Sus scrofa: one gene and its partner. The protein of the gene in region 2 purifies or fractionates together with the protein of the main gene of each other region. This does not show direct contact. Links are inferred from orthologs where the notes say so. Each region holds a gene or a part of one and is shown on either strand. Other genes may lie near its edges.

Region 1 (11,243 bases), on a different chromosome or scaffold from region 2:
ATGATTTCATTTATGATAACGTACAAGCCCAGGAAAAATTAATCTGTGCTAGCAAAATTAATCAGGATAGTGACTTCTACTGGGGAGATAGGAAGTGACCAGAAGGGAGACCAAAGGGTCTTTTTTATAGTGCTGGTCATGTTGTTTATTGATCCCAGTGTAACTTTCATGGATGTGTTTAGTTTGCGAAAATTTATCAAGCTCTACTCTTATTTGCGCCTCTTTATATGTGTATTATACTTACTGAAACAAAAAACAAACAAAAAAACCCACCCGAAGCCCCCACTAAACTATTGTGAGTGCCTCCCATGTAGGTACATGACATTATGCTAAATGCTTGCAAGAGCATAAAAAGAACTAAAGATTAGTGGTTGCCAGAGAAAGGAGGGAGGGAAGCAGGCGGAGTAACTGCTTGACTGGTATGGGGTTTTATTTCAGGGTGATGAAAATGTTTTGGAACTAGATAGAAGTGGTGGCTAGGAATGTGTTAAGTGCCACTAAGTTGCTTATTTAATTAAATTAATTGATTAATTTATTTTTGCTTTTTAGGGCCACACCTAAAAAGTTCCCAGGCTAGGGGGGGCATCAGAGCCGTAGCAGCCGCCCTATGCCACAGCCACATCAGCGGCAATATGGGATCCTAGCTGTGTCTGAGACCTACACCACAGCTGATAGCAATGCCAGGTCTTTAACCCCTGGAGTGAGACCAGGGAATCAAACCTGAGTCCTCATGGTTACTAGTTGGGTTTGTTACTTCTGATCCACAACGGGAACTCCCTGAGGATTCGTTCTTGACTGGAGCCTTATGTTGGAGTAGAAACAATGGAAGAAGGTCCATGGAGTAACAGGTCTAGCTATGGATTTGATTTAATAGAAAGCAGTGAGGGACTGTAACATAGCAATGTTCCAGGAAGTCCCACTTGGCAAGCAGTACACAAAGGAAGCTAGGGGAAGCAGTGATGAGGCAGGAAACTGAGCTCAAAGGAAGCCACAAAAGTCCAGATGGGACCTGAGGGCTTAGCTGGGTGGTGCTCATGGAACTTAATGCGCCCCTAAGTTCACCCAACATTGTTTACAATCACCAATATATGGAAACAACCAAGTGCCCAACAACAAATGAATAAAGATGTTGTGTGTATATACATATGTTCACAGACACACCCACATACAGCGGAACATTATTCAGCCATAAAAAGATGAAATTTTGCCACTTACAACATGAATGGACTTTCAGGTTATTGTGCTAAGGGAAATAAGTCCTATGGAGAAAGACAGTATGATTTTCCTTATATGTGGAACTTAAAAACTAAAGCAAATAAAAACCAAACCAAACTAATCAAACAAATCAAACCAAACCTACAGAGAACAGAGCAGTAGTTACCAGAGGGGAAGGGAAAAATGGGTAAAGGGAATGAACAGTATGGTAAAGGATGGAAAATACATTTCTGGTGAGTAGCATGTTGTAGGGTATACAGCAGTAGAAATATAATGTTGTACACATGAAACCTGTTATAATCAGTATTAAATAAAATTTAAAAGTTACACAATTAGAAAGGAATATATTCATATAAGATGAACAAACTGGGATTACATTTGAACTATTTCAGTATCCCTTAAATGATGTTCTTCTGCTTCAAAGGCAATTATATACTTGATGGCAGTGCCTGTGATGTCTACTAGAAGCCACAGAGGTTAGTCTTCAGTTTCATCAGAGTACAAGTGTTTCGTGTGTATAATAATTTCCAGACTTTACATTCTTCTTAGGCTACTCTTATGAGAGAGAACAAATTAATTATCTTAGAGGTGAATATCAGTTAGATTGATTCTTTCTCAATGCTTCTTATAAAAATGATCTTCCAATTCTGAAGCCATTCTATTAATACGAAGGGAAATAAAAATGTGTACAGAAAGTGGGGTAAAAAACAAGGCCTCGCTATATGCATGGTACAGTGCTGAAAGTTATCTTTTTTTCTCTTTTTATAGCCATACTGCAGCACATGGAAGTTCCCGGGCTAGGGGTCAAATTGGAGCTGCAGCCAACCTATGCCGCAGGCAATGCCGGATCTTTAACCCATTGAATGAAGCCAGGGATTGAACCCACGTCTTCATGGATGCTAGACAGGTTATTAACCTCTGAGCTGCAATGGGATCTCCCCAAATTTTATCTTTTTAAAAAAATGTTGTTATCGATGATTTTGTTACCTTTAAAATTATCCTTTCAGGAGTCCCCTTCGTGGCTCAGTGGTTAATGGACCCGACTAGTATCCTTGAGGACATGGGTTTGATCCCTGGCCTTACTCAGTGGATTTAGGATCTGGCGTTGCTGTGAGCTGTGGTGTAGGTTGCAGATGTGGCTCAGATCTGGTATTGCTGTGGCTGTGATGTAAGCTGGCAGCTGTAGCTCCAATTAGACCCCTGGCCTGGGAACCTCCATATGCAGCAGGTGAGGCCCTAAAAAGCAAACAAGCAAACAAACAAAACCCCCTCTCCTTTCAAGGTAGGTATTAATACTGCCCATTTAGAGATGAAAAAACTGAAGTCCACTGAAAAGAATAATCATGTCACTAAAATAACCAGCTATGTAGGACTCAGTGTATGCTACTTTCTCAGAGGCATTATACTGTGACATTGTAACTGCTATAGAAATATCACCAGGGAGTTCCCATCCTGGCTCAGCTGAAGTGAATCCAGTCAGTATCCATGAGGATGTGGGTTAAGGATCTGGCGTTGCTGTGGCTGTGGTGTAGGCCAGCAGCTACGGCTGATTTGACCCCTAGCCTGGGAACCTCCATATGCTTTGGGTGTGGCCCTAGAAAAACCAAAAAAAAAAAAAAAAAAAAAAAAAAAAGAAAAGAAAGAAAAAAATAAATACCATCAATTTAGGAATTCTGTTGTGGTGCATTGGATTAAGGATCCGGCTGGCATTATCACTGCATTAGCTTGGGTTGCTTCTGTGGTGCAGGTTTGATCCCTGGCCTGGGAACTTTCACCTAGCCTAGCAACTTCCGTATGCCACAGGCATGGCCAAAAAGAAAAGAAGTATCAATATAAAAATAAAAAAAAGAATCATCAATATAAATTTCAACGGAGAAATGCAAAACAAATATAATGAGTAACTTTATCTTTCATACAAATATGAGAGGAAACAAACAAAAAGATATTTCTGCTGTGGAGGAAAAAGCCACTGGATCTGACAGTTGGGGTTGTCGATCTGTGAAACATGATTTGAAAGAGCTATGTAGGTTAGAGACAATGACTACATTATCTAGTTCTAGTTGAAATCATGGAGATAAACTCAATGTTCTTTCATAGGGTTTAAGTGTTAATATTTGAAAGCACTTAGTACAGAGTCAGACACAGAGAAGGGACTCCGTGTTTGGAGTTGTTGAATATCGGGTATGTATGAATTCTTAGCAAGGCCAAAGAAAGCTCTCACTGCGACTGAAGAGCAGCACCCTTGCCTGTTAACAAGCAGCATCTGCTGGTCAGTCATCCAATGATGCAGGACCTCTTTTTTTTTTTGGTCTTTTCTGTCTTTTCTAGGGCTGCATGCATGGCACATGGGGGTTCCCAGGCTAGGGGTCTAAATCAGAGCTGTAGCTGCTGGCCTGTGCCAGAGCCACAGTAACAAGGGATCCGAGCCGTGTCTTCAACCTACACCATAACTCACGGCAATGCTGGATCCTTAACCCACTGATCGACACCAGGGATTGAACCTGCAACCTCATGGTTAACCACTGAACCACAACGGGAACTCCAGGACCTCATATTTATAAGGGTCTGTCCTCGTCTACACTCTAAAAACTGCAGCGCATGATCAGTGGGTCCTCCCCAAAAGCACACTTATAAACAAGTAGGATGAAATAGGAGACGTCACTTTTTACAAGAATGTTTTTTATTTATACAAGGCATTATAATTTTCTCAATATCCTTCACTCATTTCTTGACAAACTTTTCACTGGATTCGTTTAACAAATGAACAGCATCAAACTATATTTCACTACCTGTCAACCTCCAAGCACTCAACTTAGAGACAAAAAGTGCTTGAAGCGCCAAATGGAAAGAAAATAAGGTTAACAGAGATACTTTAGAAGGGATGGCTTGGGGGAGGAATTGGATTCCTGAGCACCATCGGATTTCCCTTAACGTTCAGAGAGGTCTACAAAATCATTTTTAAAAGACATGAGATTAGAACTAGGGAATCAGAGGAACCCATAGTTTGAGATATTAAGCAGGTCATCAAAGTTCCTGGCAGAAGTGAAAAAAGGAGGGACAGAAAGTGGGAATGGGGAGCAGAGGAGAGGCAGAACAGAGACAGGAGAGAAGCACAGAGCAAGAACGTTGTACCTAGAAGAAAGAAAGTTTGGAATTCATCAGGAATTAGAAGAATGAAAAGCCATACCACAAATCCGGGAGCGGGACTACAAGAGAAAGCCTGGAGTTTTATACCTTCCAGGAGGTGACCACATACCCTAAAGCTGTACAATGGCAGGCAGTGAGGTGCATTCAAGACTACACCATCTGTTGTAAGACACATTGGCAATCTTGCTTGACTAATTCTACTCTACACTGCTGATGTAAATGCATTTGGTGCCCAGAAGGTAGCCACCCAAGCGGGTTACATGCCTACTGGCAATAGAGAAGGGCTCTAAGCCAAGTGGGTCTGTAAAAACCAAAATTCAGTTAATGTTACTGTCAAGTGAAGAGACAAAAGAACAGATTTCACTGTTCTACACCCTTTAGTGGTTTCCTAAAGCTAAGTCATTCTGATCACTTGTAAGAAGCTAGTATTGCCAAATACTGTACAAATAGGCTGTCTATAAGCAAAGCCCCAGGTTTTCCTGAGTCTTGACTGCTTCTGTGATTTGGAACGCAGTAGGTGGCATGGAAGCTTTGTTACTTTTTTGAGCCGTGGGTGAATGGGTGGGACCTGGGGATCAACAACTGCCTAACTATGTACGTAAGTAAACAAAAATGCTCCCAGTGACCAATTGGCTGTTCATAATCCCTCCTGCCAAAAAGTCATAACCTTCAGGCTCATGAAGCAAAACAAGATTCTGCTACTCAGATGCTCTGAATCTGGGACACGCTGGTTTTGATGATAATTTTAATCAGTTTTTACTTCCATCTTCTCAGGCTCTTCTGCCCAAGACTACTCTGTCCAGCAGGAAAAAGCTGCACACAAACGTTTCAGAGCTGTACCTTCCAAGGCGCCAGTCTCCCCATCCTCTTCAGTTGTCCACGTCCTCCTCTTCATTCTGTTCTTCTTCCTCCAGCCTTTCCTCATCTTCGTCGTTGTCCTCATCCCTGCTCTTGTCTTGCTCTTCTGAATCTGTTTTTTTGTCTTTGTCCTTCTTCTTTTGCTCTGAAGCTTCCTTCTTACCTTTCTGCTCCCTTCTATAAGCTGTAAGGATGAAGGAGGGAGTTGGGAGACAAGGCTGAACCAAACAGACTGCAGCCACTAATACCACTGCATAACTGGAAACACTGAGGCACAGAAGGAAAAATAACCTGCCCAGCATCACAAAACTGATATGAGGTAGTGCCATTTGAATCTCACCCAATACTTGCTTACTGGACCTAAAGGGACTCAAGCTAATGAAGACTTAGGGCCAAGTGAGCAGGTCATACAGGATGAACATCTACTTGGTTGAGTAAACGAAGAGGTCGTTACCTTCCAGAGCTTCTTTTAAGGGAGTAACGAACCGCTGAAACTCCATCTCCTCCATGGCTGAGAGAACATCGCTGGCATTCAGCGTCTTGCGTTTCCCTTTCATCGCGAAGTTGTTGGCGCTGAACAAGAAGATTAAGGGCTGTCAGAATCCTTCTTGGCCCGTATGCAGTGAGTGGGAAAAGGACGACCCAGAGGTGGAATGGAAATGCCCAAGTCTAAGATACATGGATTTTGGTGACACAGTAAGTCCCTCCCTTCCCTGTACAAAAGGGTAAGGCAAAGTTACTCTGTTTTATTTTGTTCCACAGCTTGCAATACCTGGATGAAGACTCTGAACCTCCCTCCACTGGGGAAGATCATAATTATTGGGGTTTGCGGGTTCTAGGCCGCGAACTCCGAACCAGGGGTGGGGGGGGTGTCTGCGTCTCCCTTAAGCCTCAGCCCCCAGCTAAGCTCTGGTTAGCTCTGCCCGCCTCACCAGGATGTGGCGTACAACACGAAGACGCTGGCGGCGCGGGAGATGGCGCTCCGGGCCTCCTTGGAGATGTTGACACCTTCCGGGAGCTGTGACAAGAGAGGGGGTGAGCAAAGCTACTGCCCCAGGACCTCTTTACCCTTGCCTGCTCGTCCGCCCCTGGCCCATCCGCCAGCCGGAGATGCTCACCGCCTCCTTGATGATCCTGGTGATGACGGCATTGGGCAGGTTTAGGTCCTCGGGCCTCTCCGCCATTGCCACGGCCGGAGCCGGCCTCCTCTTCAGGCCGCTACAGCGTCCGGACTTCCCGCGTCGCCACCGTCTGACCCAACGAGGCTTCCGTTCCGCCCCGTTTTGCCCACACCGTGTCCCACAGTGCCCCGCGCGCCATATCCTCCCTCCTCCCCCAGCCCCGCCTCCGACTGCAGTCGTCTGTTCATCTGAACTTTCCACGCCGCTAGTTTTAGCCCTAGGGGTTTCTATCAGGCCACAACGGCACCTGGCGCCCCTTCCCAAGCTCGCTTCCCTGCTTCACGCCACCACCTCGTCTGGAACTTGCTTAGCAAATTAAGTATGGCCTTCTGGGGCTTCCGTCCCTTTCCCATAGTGCTCTGCGCCGCTGCCTGGCAACGGTGCTGTCGGAGGCTGGCTTGGGAGACGAAGGCGTGGACTGAGCCGGCGGGGCGGGTCCCTTCGGAAGAGAGGCGGGACCTGGCGCTTGGCCCCGCTGCTGTCTTCACCGCGGGTTGAGGAGCAGCGTCTTCCTTGTAGGCTTCGGCTTCCTAGCCGCTTGGCCTCTGCTTTGGCTCCGCGGAAGCGCGGCCCTCCTTGGCCGGATTCTCCCACTTCCCTCTTCTGGAAGCAGGGAATCTTTATTGAACTCTCCAGGCCCTGATATCCCCTCTTAAATCTTTTCACCGCTCTCAACTTTGTAATAATGGTATTAAGGATAAGTGTTAACCTAAAATTTTTAATGCAGACTACTTTGTCAGTACAGTGTAGGGCTGGCAACAAAAAGATGGGCATGATTAGACCTTGGGGTTCACTTCGAGCTGGTCAGGTAACAAAAGGTCCATAAGCAGCCGGTTTTAAGAATAACATTCGCATTCAAAAACAAACCCTGTTAAACTTGTATTTATGTTTTAGTTCATTGACTTGATCATCGTTCATCTTTCCTAGTCAAAAGCATCAGCATGGTTTTACAATGGTCCCCCCCCCCCCCCCCGAGGGAGCGGTGGGGCGACCACTGCATATGGAAGTTCTCAGGCCAGGGATGGAACCTGCACCACAGCAGTGACTCAGGTGGGAGGTACCCTTAACACTCTGCGCCACAAGAGAAATACTGCATTGGCTTTTTAAGTTGTATCATTTTCATATTACGTAGTAGAAACTCTCCTCACTCCCACTGAACAGTTGTTTTCCTTGAAACCTGCTGCCTCAGGTCATGCTTAGTTTTCCTGTTTTTGATAGAAACATGAGTACAGAGAACTATTTCCCTATTATGAGAAAAACAACAGCAAATGCAGTGATAAATGGCAACTGAAACTCTTCTCTTAGAGAATATGGGGTTTGGTGGGGGAGGGCTCCACTTGACTAGAATACACATGGTTTAAAGATGTCAGGAGGTACACAGCTCCAGCCAGTGGCTGTCTAGTTGGAATTGGACCCCCCTTTGAGAGAACCCAGAAATCTGAACATTATGGGCTATTTCCATCTTTAAATAATGGCTCAAAGTGCAGGCCATACAAAACAAGTTATATGCCAGGTGCAATCCCAGGCCAGTAGTTTGCTATCTTTGGCTTATATTATAAACTCTTTAGAACTGGGACTTTTTTTGGTCATTATTGTTCTCTATGCCCATAACAGGTCCCTTCCCATATTTGGTGGTCAATAAATGTGTTGAGTAAAAGAAAGAGGAAATAGACACTTAAAAGTTTATTGCAGATAGGTGGTAGTGATTGTCTAAACATTTCTTTTTTTTTTTTTTTTGTCTTTTGTCTTTTTGTTGTTGTTGTTGTTGCTATTTCTTGGGCCGCTCCCGCGGCATATGGAGGTTCCCAGGCTAGGGGTTGAATCGGAGCTGTAGCCACCGGCCTACGCCAGAGCCACAGCAACGCAGGATCCGAGCCGAGTCTGCAACCTACACCACAGCTCACGGCAACGCCGGATCGTTAACCCACTGAGCAAGGGCAGGGACCGAACCCGCAACCTCATGGTTCCTAGTCGGATTCGTTAACCACTGCGCCACGACGGGAACTCCTTTCTTTTTTTTTTAGGATGACACCAGAGGCATATGGAGATTCCCAGGCTAGGGGTCCAGTCAGAGCTGTAGCTGCTGCCCTACACCACAGCTCACGGCAATGCAGATCCTTAACCCAGAGATCGAACCTGCAGCCTCATGGTTCCTAGTCGGATTCGTTTCCACTGTGCCATGATGGGAACTCCAGATTGTCTAAACATTTCTAAAGAGAGAAAGATGGTAACATTTATTGACCACCTGCTGTATATCATACGTAAAAGTACATTATCTCATTTAATGTTTCCACAGTCCTACTTAGGGATATCCCCTCCCCTACTTTATATGAGAAAACAGGCTAAGGAAGGTGAAGTCACTTGTCACTTGCCCAAGACCATACAACTAGTCAATGAAAAGCCAGTGGCCTCTGATTCACCTGTGGGTTGATTGATTTGCTGTTGAAGCAGACCCATTCCTTTCTGCTGGGTGTTTTAGCTACCTGTATGAAAACTGGAGCATACTGAAAAATAAAGTGTATCTTCCGAAGGTTTGAGCCATCTAATACACTTCTGTGACTCAGCCGTCTCTCGTTATCTGCAGATGATCCGTTTCAGGAGCCCCTGTGTGTATCAAAAACCGTGGATGATCAAGTCTCATGTACCTTAGTTGTAATTTGATAAAGCTTTTTGGAGAGGGTGGCATCTTCTTCTTAATGATTAATGATGGGAAAAAGGAAAGGATGCCAGACCTTTTGATATACATTAACTAATTTTTGTGATGACCCTGTGAAATGGGCTTATCCTCATTTTGCAGATGAGGAAATCGAAGCTCAGATTGGTTAAATCTCAGGTCACTCAGCTGCTAATTCAATGGCCAATTAGGAGACCTTCTGAAGTCAGTCTGCACCCAAACTCTTGTCACTCTGCTAATCCATGCTGAGATTTTTTTCATACTTGCTTATTATCCACTTCCTAACTATCCTTTGGCTACCATTTATCTATATGGTTCAGAGGAAATATTTTATGTTTTGAGTCTAAATATTTGGTCTGCATGACTGATATATAATACTCCCTAATTATCTGGTGGTTGTTTCTCCAGGGGGCTGGAAAGCTGCAAGATTGGCTTTTGTCCTAAACCATTTGTGGCTATGAACTTGCCAGATGAAAGCCAGTGGGATGAAACTACGTGTCACCTGGCTGTTTGTCAGCATCCGCAATGCTGGGCAGCTATCCGCCGGATTGAGAGGGGCCACCCTCGAATTCTAAGCTCCTCCTGCAAACCACCTCTGAATGTTGAAGGTGAATTAGCCAGCCCTGTCTCCTTCTTTACAAGATCCTCGGATTATTTCTTTTTGGCTCCCTTTTGATATGTTGTGTGTTTTCTTCTACTCTGGTCTTTCAGAAAGACTCCCAATGCTCACTGTTGTAAACCTCACCGATTCCTGCTTCGAGGCCAAGAGGCTTGCTCACCGTCATTTGTCAAAATTTGCGTTCACCAAGGCGCGTCCTTTATTGTCCCAAGGTTCAAAGTTTGACTTGAAATTTCAAGGCAGGTAAACTATCATGGAATCTTCTTTAAAGGGCTTACTACCTCAAAATTCCTGATTGACATCCTTTGCCCATATAGTAGACTTTGGGAAAGCTAGATTAAGCGTGACATCAGTTCAGTTAAAGGAGTGATGAATAGGCAGTGGGAAACAAAGAAGCCTTATTTGCAGTGTAGGAGTTGGTGAAAATGGGGGAGGTGTTTCAGTTTTCTAGGGTCACCATAACAAAGTACTAGAGTTGTTATAGACTGTGTGCCTTAACAACAAATTAATTTTCTCCCAGTTCTAGAAGCTAGAAGTCCAATTAAGGTGTTGGCAGAGGTGTTTTCTTCTGAGCCCTCTCTCCTTGCCTTCTTAGTGGCCCTCTTCTCCCTGTGTCTTAACACTGTCGTCCCTTTGTGTGTATCCGTGTCTGAATGTCTTCTTCTTGCAAGCACACAAGTCATATTGGACTAGAGCCCACCTATGTGACCTCATTTTACCCTCATTGTCTCCTTGAAGACCCTATCTCCAAATACAAATTCAGAGTTAAGAGGGAGTTAGGACTTCAACATAAGAATTTTGGGGAACCCAATTCAGCCCATAACAGAGAGTGTCTCACCAGCTTCTGTAGATCTTTAGAAAACTGTCCATATATGCTGCATTTCTTTTTGTTGTTGTTGTTTTGTTTTTCAGGGCTGTACCCGAGGCACATGGAGGTTCCCAGGCTGGGGGTCAAATTGGAGCTACAGCTGCTGGCCTACAGCACAGCCACAGCAACAGCAATGCAGGATTTGAGCTGTGTCTGCAACCTACACCACAGCTCATGGCGATGCCAGATCCTTAATCCACTGAGCGAGACCAGGGATCCAACCAGCAACCTCATGCTTCCCAGTTGGATTTGTTTCCTCTGTACCAAGACGGGAACTCCTGCATTTCTTTTTTTGCTTGTTTGTTTGTATGTTTTTTTTTTAGGGCCACACCTGCAGCATATGGAAGTTCCTAGGCTAGGTGTCTATTGGAGCTACAGGTGCCGGCCTACACCACAGTTCACGGCAATGCTGGATCCTTAACCCACTGAGCAAGGCCAGCGATTGAACCTGCATCCTCATGGATGCTAGCTGGGTTCGTAACCCTCTGAGCCACAGTGGGAATTCCTATGCTGCATTTCTTACCTTTAATTTTTAGGTGTGAAATCATTTGTAAGCTCTCAAAGGTAGAAGCGATGGTTTCCCGAATTGCCTCTAGAGTCTACGCATCCAGTTACTGCTTACTGATTTGGAAGCTAAGGGACAGGTGTCTATGGAAAACTTAGACTTAAAATTCAAAGACC
Region 2 (11,205 bases):
AATGTGATCATTTATATTTAAAATAATAAAATAGTACAGCTTCAAACTTTTGGTTTATGTTAATTTTCTCCAACTGGAAAGAAAATAGTTTAAAAACCATATACATAAATATTTTGTAGAAGCAGTTTCTCGGGGCTATTAATTGCTAACCTTTGATATTTTAAAAAAGTTGTAATTTCATGAAAATTGACATAAATCGGTTACACTAAAATTATCTAGGGGGTTATCTCATGCATCCTATCCTTTATAAAGACAAACTTGTAAATATAATAGATATGTACATAGAATACACCTCCTTCCCTGTAAGAAATCAAGAAATAAAATAATAAAAACATAAATCTACCCATTAGTAACAAAGCCAAGGGTATTTCAGTTTTAACACAGACTTTGCAGAAGTCAAAATACAAATCTGTTTGTGAAAACCAAAGAAATTATGTCCATTTGATCATGGCTTTTGACACCCTGTTCCTGAAAGGTTAGGTCATAAATCAACGGAAGAACGTGATCTTAAACATAAGAAAAACATGGGTCCAGTAGTTAATGAATGTTTTTCAACATTTACTAAAATTTCTACTTTGAGGAAATCCAAACTAAGATTATGGAATTTGACCGGGGTCAGGGTTCTCCTTTGGAGCACTGATCAGATATTATTCAGTGATTCTTGTTCTGTTGTTGTTGTTGTTTTCGGAATTCTCACTTCTCTTTCATCACTGAGTTTCAGCTTTACAAATAACCTTAGAACAATTCAGGTAATTAAAGTTTTGAGGGAAAACATTTCTTTCTTGTATGTGAAGGACTATTACATGCGTCATTTTTCTGTGAATAACTGTATTGGGTGGATTAACAAACACTGCCACAGAAATGCACAAAAGAATTTTTAAAGCCATAGTTCATTGCATATATATTTACAAAAATCCATAAATAAACATGTATTTGTCCTTTACTAGGAGAAGTTAATAGGTGTTTGAACATTAAGGCAGTGATGATTCTAAAACATAATGAAATTCTAAAGTTAAGGCTTTATGCTTTTTCTTTCCCCCCTGTGTTTTTAGGGCTGCACCTGCAGCATATGGAGGTTCCTGGTTAGGGGTTGAATCAGAGCTGTAGTTGCTGAACTACACCACAACTCATGGCAATGCCGGATCCTTAACCCACTGAGCAAGGCCGGGGATCGAACCTGCATCCTCATGGATGCTAGTCAGATTTGCTTCCGCTGAGCCAAGACAGGAACTCCTTTATTCTGTTTTTTGCTTTTTTATGCTCATTTTGAAACCCATACTTATAGGCAACTGTGACCAAAGCAAACTTTTATCTACCAGGTTGAGTTCACCTGCCCAGGATATGTTATTTGTCCACTACCAACAACTGTTCCACTATTCTTAATCCAAGTAACAGCCGTCTTGATTTACAGTATTTCATATGCATATATCATCTATGTGAGATGTTTTGAATATAATTTTGGATGGATGAGAACAGAAACTACTAAAATCCCCTCAATACCACACTTTCAAACTGTCATATATACTATAAATCCTATATTATTTTCAAAGCAACAAGTACGGAAAATTGGGTAGCAAAATCCATACCTTTATCATTCCTTGAAAAGCTAAATGAGGTCTAGTTTTCAAGTTTCAAAATTACGTCCCCTCATATACACAAGCACACATCTAATAATGTGGGATGTAAATTTCACTTATAGAAAATTCAAGTTTTAATATTAGAAAAACATTCTGCTCAGTGTTTTGCTTACCTTGCGGTAGAATACCATAAGATTTTAATCATATGCTAATTAAAATCCTAATCTTGAGCACTGCCATTAAAAAGATGTAGGTAATTACTCAATTGGCACTATCTTCCACAACGATTTTAGAATACCTACCTTCTAAAACTTTCCATTTGTCTATGTATATGTTTTCACAAATACACCTCTCATACAAGAAAAGCTAAAAGATGACCATGATATTCTAATGATTTCTTTATGGATCTTATCATCTGGTGGTCTAGATGCCATAAGAAGGCAGCACAAGGTCACCAAGATGCCCTGTCTTAAAGACCATGATCTTCTTCCTGACATTTTCATTACCAAAAATACCAACTCCAATTTTCACAGTGTTAGGTTATCCAACTGTCACTTAAACCAAGGAAGTTCAAGAACCAGGAGCTAAAAGCAAAAATACCATTCTGGGGCTGAACATCACAAGGCAATCCACTACCCGTCTCATGTACTTTATGCATTAGGAAAATGCTCTCACTCAGAGCCTGTCTCCTTTTATTTGATGTACAAGTCCAACAAGTTTGATAATATGGCTTCCCATTCTACAGAGAATGAAAGCAGTAGCAAATGACGTGGGGAAGACCACTAGAAGAAGACACACTGTCAACAGCAAGAAGGGATGGCATGAAAGCCCAGAACCAAACCTTAAGTTCCAATGCATTAACATCCCATCTCCTTGGTGTTCAGGAATAATTATTTCCCTCTCCTGGCTAGATGGCTTGTATTTTTACCATTGTTTTATTTTATTTTATTTTATTTTTTGTCTTTTAGGGCTGCACCAGCTGCATGTGGAGGTTCCCAGGCTAGAGGTCAAATCAGAGCTGTAGCCGCCAGCCTAAGCCACAGCCACAGCCACAGCAACGTGGGATCTGAGCCACGTCTGCGACCTACACCACAGCTCACTGAGTGAGGCCACGGACCGAACCAGCGTCCTCATGGATACTAGTGGGGTTCGTTAACCACTGAGCCACGACGGGAACTCCGTATTTTTACCATTGTTTTAAATGAAAGGTTTTGTTTCACTTATGTCCTTTATCATAAGCCAATTCTTTCTAATGAAAGTAGATGAAGTGTTTAAAAAGTGATAGTTAACAGCCTGACAATTGAGGGAGGAGACTGAACATTTTTGAAAAAAAATCAACGCAATATTGGAAGTGTCTGGAAGGTGTTTATTGGAGGGGAAACAACCTCCTAAATCTCAAATGCCTTTGTATGGGTGTCAGAGTACAATAACTGGGAGACACGAGGAAAAGGTTAATCTGTACATTTAGGACACCATTTAAGGAATCAAGGTAGTGTGCAGATATTTAGATCTGGAGTGGGGGGATGCACTGGGGGTTTGGGATGGAAATGCTATAAATTTGGTTGTAATGGTCATTGTACAACTATAAATGTAATTGAAGAATAAAAAATGCTATTAAAAATGATATTCATATTGGGGGAGAGACAAAATTACCTTATTTGAAGGAATAGAACAAATAAAAGCACTTAGGTAGATGTTGTGGTTCAATTCAGATTTTTAAGGAAAAATTCAAAATAAAAAAGACGTAGTGACTAAAGTAATAAGATTCAGATATCCAGAAAGTTCCTGCCAGGTGGCACCTCATTTCTCTATGCCGAGCCAACAAATGAGGTGCTACTAGTGCAATTTCTGATAAGGCCACAGAGTTCACGAATATATATGCATCAACTCAGTGATTATACACGTTTTTTATTGATTACCAGTCTCTTCACAATTCCAAAAATTCATATACCCTGGAAATTCGACAACATTTACTGCCATACAAAAGACGGCCAAGCACTTACATTCGCCCAGTCTAGGGAAGAAAAGGTATCCAGACACATTCCTGAATTTCCCAACATTGATTTATATCATCGATGCTTGGTATTTGGCCCAGCTTTAATCATCGATATTGTCTTACTGATCCAAGTACCACACAGATCTTAAAATGCGTATGTTTTCTATGGTTTTCACTTAGCGCTACAATTGTCTTTCTGTTTAGTCAACCTTGTAACAGTAAAATACGTCACTTTTAAGCAACTGCTGAATTTAAAATTACTCTAATTCACGGCCAAAGGTGTTAATTTCCCTCAAAAGCTTTTCATTTGGTCGTAGAGCATCATATAATGATTCAAACAAAGCCACTTGAGATCGCTAAAGCATAATTTTAATTACCTACCGTTTTTTTAATTGCGATATGTCTACTCGTAAACGGAAAAAAAATCCAGCCATAAACGATCCATTCCACAATTTTACTATACATCAAAATCCTTATGCCTCAACCTAATTTTTTATTCCAATATTTCAATAGCCTTTCATAGTTCTACTTGCACGTCTCAGTCCGTATGAAATACGCCTTATGGAGATAATACGTATTTTTTTGGATCTGGCTTTAATAGGTGTCACAGCGGTCCCCTTATGTACATTAGCAGCAATTCATCCTGGCGACGCTGGGTTTAAAAAAACAAAATTAAAAAAAAAAAAAAAACCTGCGTGTGTCCAGGAGCCAGCAGCGCCCACTAGGAAAAGGAGGCGGAAGCCTGGAAGGCTTGGGGCCGGATTGGGGGACCATTTGGGTGGCCCTGGAGTGAAACACTATACCGTCGGGGGCGGGGCAGGAGAGGGTGAGGGTGCACACGTTGGAAATTTTCCTAAGCCAGCGTCCAGGGTTCCTCAGTTTGGGATCTGGATTGGGGGGGGGCGGTGGTACGACGCTGAGAGCTCGTTTTCTCGGGGTGACACCCCCGCTTCAGCAGGCGGGGACCAAACGAACAAGGGATTTTTTTTCTCCCTGCCACCCCAAAGGCCGACATTGCCAATCAAAGAAACAAACGTCTCTCCTATCGTCCTCCTCCTCCCAACCACCGGCACCTGGAAATTCAAATTTTAAAAAATAAACCCCCAGTAAACCCCTTTTGCCTGAGTGTGGGATTGAAGGGCCCAGATTTCCCAGGCAGAGGCCGACGGGAAGGGGGGGGGAGAGGGAGCGAGCGAGAGGAGAGGGGGAGGCGGAGGCTTTTTCCTCCACGGCCCCATCCCCCACCTCGTTACCCCAGTTCCGGGAACGCCAAAGGGGCCGGGGGCTGTCGAGGGCTCCCCAGCCCCCAAGCCCCGAGATAACGGGCACCCGCCGCCCCGCGCCGCGCCCGCGCCCCAGCCCCGCCCCCGCCCTCCAGGCGGCGAGAAGCGAAGGGGGAGGGGAGCGAATGCTAGACTGTTCTGCCGCCCCCACCCCGCGCGCCCGCCGCCCCCAACCCTGCGGAGCTCCGCGGGTACCTGTCGGCGCCCAAAGGTCAGCGTTTGGGCCCCTCCGAGGGGCCCGGCGCAGGATTTGTCCACCGCACACACACCCCCTTCCTATTTACCTCCTTCTTCTTCTCGCCCTTCTCCGTGGCCACGGTGGCTTCGGTGGACGCGGTGGCCGCGGCGGCGGCTCCCTCCTCCTTGGAGATGGACGGCCCCGGCTGCTCGTCCTCTATGACCACGATCGTGGCGGTCGCATCAGAGGCTGCCACGGTGGCTGCCACTGCGGCGGTGTCCGGCTCCATGGCGTTGGAGCGGGAACGAAGAGGGGAACGAGCGAGGGGACGAGGGCTCCTGGGCGGCGGCAGTGGCTGCACTGGAAAGAGCTAGATGGAGCAGGGGTGGGGAATCACTCGCTTCCAACCCCTTCGCTCGGCCCCCCCTTCTTTAAATAACCCTCAACCCTGCCCCACTTCCGTCCACCCACCCTACGTCATGGCCTCCCCCCGTCACCCTCCCCCCTTCCTCCACCCCCCCTCAACGATCGCGAGACTCCCCCTCCCCACCCGGAGCCCAGGCCGTCCCCGCACGACCAACTGTTGCCTGAGCGTGGGGCGCGGACTGGGGTGGAGGCGGGAACCCACAGCCCGCGGCCCCCTAAAAAATCTCCTTCCCCACACGCCCCCAACAGTCAGCCCGAGCTCCCCTCGCAGATGTGTGCAGAAGGAATCCTCTTCCCCTTAAATCTGCTCTTTGTACCTCGGGGCGCTCTCCCCTTCTTGCACAAAGAACTTTTCCTCTGCTTATAACTGTACTGTAGAAGGTCTGTCTCACCATTTGCAAAGCCCAGATCCCCTCTGGGGACTGTCCTTTCCCAGATCCCCAAAGGGGGACTGGTGGTGCCCTTCCCACCTTTGTAAATTCTGCAGGAGAAGCATTCCTTGAATCTCTTGATTGCAGCTGCAAACATTCACTTACAAGGCAAAGTGTGACTCGGTTTTTACGTATATTCGCTCTATTTTCGGTTCTGAAACCTCTTGGATGGCCAATGTGCAGGAGCCCATCTTTTGCCTTCACCAATGAATTTTAAAAACTTCTGGGGGGCAAGGTCAATGTCCCCACAGAACCTGGGGCAACGCATGGTAGGTGCCCAACATCAGCAGTTGAACTGAATTATTGTGATTGTTTTGGTATTCTATTCCTACCCCGTTGTTTAGTAGTAATTCAACACCAGTAATATGCATAATCGTGGATATAAGAGCATTTCGTAAAGGGTATGCAAACGTCAGTTATTAAATATTATTGTTTCCATTTCTCCCCACCATTTATTTTGATCAATAACAGGAAGATTTACATCTCAGCCTTAAAATTTCAGTCATTGGGGACGAAAGGTAGCAAAACATACAGAAAACCAGTATACCGAACACCAATCACAAAACCTACAATTCTGAAAATGAAGCATCTATTTTCCAAAGTATGAAGAAAGCATGATTAATTTCCCTCAACACACCTTCCTAAGTTACCAATCTGAAATCAAGTGTGATTTCTGCAAATAGCAGGAAGGCACACATTTGTCCTCCAGATACATCCCTTTTTCCTGGGATACCCTAAATTTCTTTTTTGTTTTAAAGCTGTAATTCCTTAATATGCAAAAACCTTGTGACATTTTAGCTGTTATTGGCCATTTACACCTTAGTGTGAATGAGTGTGAGATCCTGTTCAGGGACTGGTTTTGAACAGGGAAAGATGCAAAGAGCAAGACACAGGTGATTGAAGGATTGTGCCACTGAGAGGAAAGGAGAGGCTGGTGTGGTGCTTAGCTTTGCCCTGATTTTACATCCATTATGTTCTCATTCACTTTAGATTTTGCCCCCGGTGTCCACGTTTCTCACCCTAGAGTACACATATGTACTCTCCAGCGGGTATGTGGAGTCTCAGTATTAAAAATAGTTCATATTTCTGAAGCATCAACTTTAAAACAAAAATGGGATGGAATAAAGTCATGTAACAGGTCATTCGAAACACGATTTTTAAAAAATGTACAGATGTATTTAACTGCAGTGTGAAGTGTCTCCAAATAAAAGCTGGAGACCTTGAGTTGGATATCCTACCCCTTCGCCACTAAGTTTTGTCAGTCTCCTGAGTCATTAAGCCTTGTCTGGTGGGAAAATTCACTGGAAGAGAAGGATGCTGCAATGCATGCATCCACCTGACTTGAGAAGGAATCTTGCAGATAAAGGCAATGGAAGAGTTCTTTATCGCCAAACTGCAGCTATAGGAGGATAGAATCCACCTTTCATTGTTTGGAGCTTCAAAGGAGAAAGGCTCAAGAAATATTTGTTGTGTATTGATGTGTGTGTTCCTGCTTGCAAGGGTACTTTATTTGATTGTATTTCTCATTGCCAGTGTGTGATATTTCAGCTACATGGTGGGCTAAATGCACTTTTGTGAAGGAATCTGGGAAACTCACATCCCTGCATAACACCTTTCCTGTGGGAACCTGTGTTCCAAGTTCCAAAAGAGAATTTAGAAATAAATGGGGGAAGGGGCAAAAAGCATTGAGACATTGGCAATTTTCCATGTATGTATAATGTGATCCTTCCTTTTCACAATGACAGGGCTGAAATTGCTACCAAGTATAAGTTTGGCTGGAAAGGTCAATGTTTGGTCCCTAGACCTTGCCACGGGATTCATGTAAATATTGCCCTTTGGCTTGTGGCAACAACTGCTATTTACAGAGCATGTGCTATCCTTATTTGCAAATCTACCTAAAATTCATGATCTGTAGACTTTGTTCTACAAGAGTCACGTCATTTCTGATCCTCATTTCTGATGCTACTCAACACCTTACTCTGTCTGCTGCTACTTTCCCCTGTTATGTCTTTTCATTTGAAACGGTCTTGAATTGCTCTGCTCCACTGAGATTGGAGAACAAAGCAAAATTTTATAGAGAACCTTGGGGCCCTATGTGGAAACCTCAGAACACATCCTTGTCTACGGAATAATGCATCTGTTTGGGCAGAGTGTGAACACTGTGGGAGTTACCCAGCCGTCATTTTCACATAGTCAAACTTGTTTCGTAGCTACCAGAATGCGTGTCCAGTGGTGGTTTCAAATACAATTACAAAGTGCATGAAGGCAGGGTCAAGGGCTTGGTGTTCCTTCTCTTATCCTATATCTGAAATTTATCCCTGAAGCCACAGTATGACAAAAAATGACATTGTGATCCTGCGGATCAATGTTCTTCAGAAGCTGGTACAAAGGATTCTGATGACAGTATCTTGCTTACCGCTCTAGTAACCATCCTGTTCATATCAATGAGCTCCCTCTCCATTCTTGTTAAGGACACTTATGATAGTGGCATTTTTAAAAATGAGCTACTTCCTCGGTGCACATTAAGCAAAAGGTAATGGTAACAGCCAGTATACATCTACCATTTCTTGAGCACCTACTATTGTAGCAGGAGCTGTGCTAGGTTTTTACATATGACATTGCAATTTGATGAAATTAAAATTATTATCCCTATTCTACATACCAGAAAACAGAGAGTTAGAGAGGCTAAATAACTCATCTAAGGTCCCACAGCTCGTGAGTGACAGAAGCCAGATTCAAATCCCAGACTGTCTGGCTCCAAACGTCATCTTTCCGCTTCACCTTTATTAAGTTCTCTGTTCTTCACAAGGATTCCTTCTTGACAGTAGAAATTATATTGAGAAAACGACTGAAAAATATTTCTGCCAATTGTCTCCATGATGTTCACTCTGGGTTTATTAGAAGAAACTGTCACTCTTAAGGCTCTGGTATTATATACAGCCAGATAATTTCTTTAGCTCCACACAGAAGTTGTTGTAAGGTGGAAGTTGGAGAATAACAGGGGATTCTTGCATGCACCCAAAGTAAATTCTTGGAACAGCAAAGGATTAAGGACAGTTAGAGTTCAGGGAGGGGGAAAACCTAACAAGTGTGTGGCAGAATATTGTATAGTACATTCATAAAAGGGATACGAAGCAGTCATTATGAATGATTATGTAAATATCTGATGACATGGAAATATGCTTCTCATGTATTGCTGAGTGAAAAAAAGGCGAGCAAGAAAACAGAGTGACCCCATTTTTGCTAAAAGAGAGAAATAATTTACATAAATAGATTTCCACAAAGGAAAAAGCCTGGAAGGTTCCACTCTAAATGTTAACAGTACTTACAGCAAGGTGGTAAGATCAAGAGTGACTTTTTTCTTATTTTTGCCTTTCTACTCCTTCTAATGTTCCTCCATGAAGGTGTTCATATTTATATAATAAATAAATAACATTTTCTATATATATATATATACATATAACTGAATCACTTTGCTGTACACTTGAACACAATATTGTAAATCAACTATACGTCAATAAAAATACAGAAAATATAAGATCTTTGCAGATGAATCAAAAAATATTGCTCAAAACTGAACAAGTAGAAATAATCTCTAACAGAAGGAAAAAGAGCTAGTAGACAGGGTGAGTCAAAAAAGGGAAAAGAACAATTTCATACTGAAGAAACAATGCAGTTATTTAATGTGGAATGCAGCGGAAGAAATATAAATTACTGTGCTGTTGGAGTTCCCGTCATGGCTCAGCGGTTAACGAATCTGACTAGGAACCATGAGGACGCAGGTTCAATCCCTGACCTTGCTCAGTGGGCTAAGGATCCGGGGTTGCTGTGACCTGTGGTGTAGGTTGCAGACACGGCTGGGATCCTGCGTTGCTGTGGCTGTGGTGTAGGCCAGCAGGTACAGCTCCGATTAGACCCCTTGCCTGGGAATCTCCATATGCCGAGGGTGTGCCCCCCCCCAAAAAAGCAAAATTATTGTGCTGTTTACAGTAATGTTACCTGGTTAAGGAACTGTTTTCTTTCTCTTATTTTTTTGACGTCGTCGTCGTTTTAAGTTGCATATAAAAGGATTTTTTTACTTTTAAAAGTTACCACACAAATCCCAGCTCAGGAAAAAGATATAGCCAGATTTTTTAAATACTTCCACCTTGAAATGCTCCACACCCATGCGTGCCCTAAAACAAACACATGCGAAATAATCTGAAATGGGTTTGCTAAAGGCAAATGACAAATATCGTTAGAGGCAGAATAGCACAATTTTTACCAGCTTGGGCTCTAGAGTCAGAAAGACTTGGAGTTTGAATTCTATCAAATTATTTAACCTCTCTAAGCCTCAAATTTGCAGCTGTAAAATGGACATAAGGATACCGAATGCAAAGTGGCTTTCTGAGGACTTAATGTACGAGTATACATGAAATCTTTAGCATGATCTTGGCATGTAATATGCACTCAAGGGATGGTAGTTAACAAAAAGAAAAAAAGAGCTTCAGATTGAGCCAAGGGAAAAAACAGGATATGAGAAAGTTAGTCCAGAAGTCAGCCCTATACTAAAGAGGGGTGAGGCAGAACAGCTGTTTGCAAAGTGATTTTCCCCGTTCTCTGTTACTATTTATTAGGGAGGGCGATTTGGGGCAATGACACTTCTTCGAGGGTAAGTTATAAAAAAGGCGGTAAATGAGGGAGAAGAGGATCAGGCCACTTTCCTACTTAGAATGTGACCTCCTTGAGGAAAGGGACCATATCCCTTTCATCCTTGCTTAAAGGATCTATGAAATGAGGTGGAGGGAAGGGGTCCAGGGGTTGGCTCCCTGGTGACATCGTGTCCTCCACCCTCCACAATACTCTTCAGGTATTACACTGCCTTCTGTGGTTTCCCCAACTTTTCCTCTCTTAATTTTGCTCTAGGTGTCCATTTGGGACATATTTTACTTTTTGTTGTTGTTGTTGTTGTTGTTATTATTTATTTATTTATTTATTTTGTCCTTTCTAGGGCTGCACCCACGGCATCTGAAGGTTCCCAGACCAGAGGTCGAATCGGAGCTGTAGCTGCGGGCCTACACCAGAGCCACAGCAACTCGGGATCCAAGCCGCGTCTGCAACCTCCACCACAGCTCACAGCAACACTGGATCCTTAACCCACTGAGCGAGGCCAGGGATTGAACACACAACCTCATGGTTCCTCATCGGCTTCGTTAACCACTGCGCCATGACGGGAACTCCCCATTTTGGACAGATTTTATGTGCATAATAATATATTTATGGAGCACTTTTCAAGGCTCATTTACAGCTTGCCCATTATGTGTAGAACAATATA

Evidence for each region.
Region 1: the proteins of SMARCA1 (region 2) and POLE3 purify together in Homo sapiens (affinity purification with mass spectrometry; 3 studies listed by BioGRID and IntAct, with this or other methods). This does not show direct contact. The link is inferred for Sus scrofa from reciprocal best matches to the Homo sapiens genes SMARCA1 and POLE3.

What each region holds. Positions count from the first base shown.
Region 1 is NC_010443.5:254,029,501-254,040,743, forward strand, and holds POLE3 (DNA polymerase epsilon subunit 3), read right to left. Parts: upstream 6,725-11,243; 5' UTR 6,405-6,724; coding exon 6,339-6,404; intron 6,239-6,338; coding exon 6,153-6,238; intron 5,794-6,152; coding exon 5,675-5,793; intron 5,405-5,674; coding exon 5,232-5,404; 3' UTR 3,878-5,231; downstream 1-3,877. UniProt on the Homo sapiens protein: Accessory component of the DNA polymerase epsilon complex. Participates in DNA repair and in chromosomal DNA replication.
Region 2 is NC_010461.5:106,110,398-106,121,602, forward strand, and holds the start of SMARCA1 (probable global transcription activator SNF2L1), read right to left. Parts: upstream 5,530-11,205; 5' UTR 5,324-5,529; coding exon 5,141-5,323; intron 1-5,140.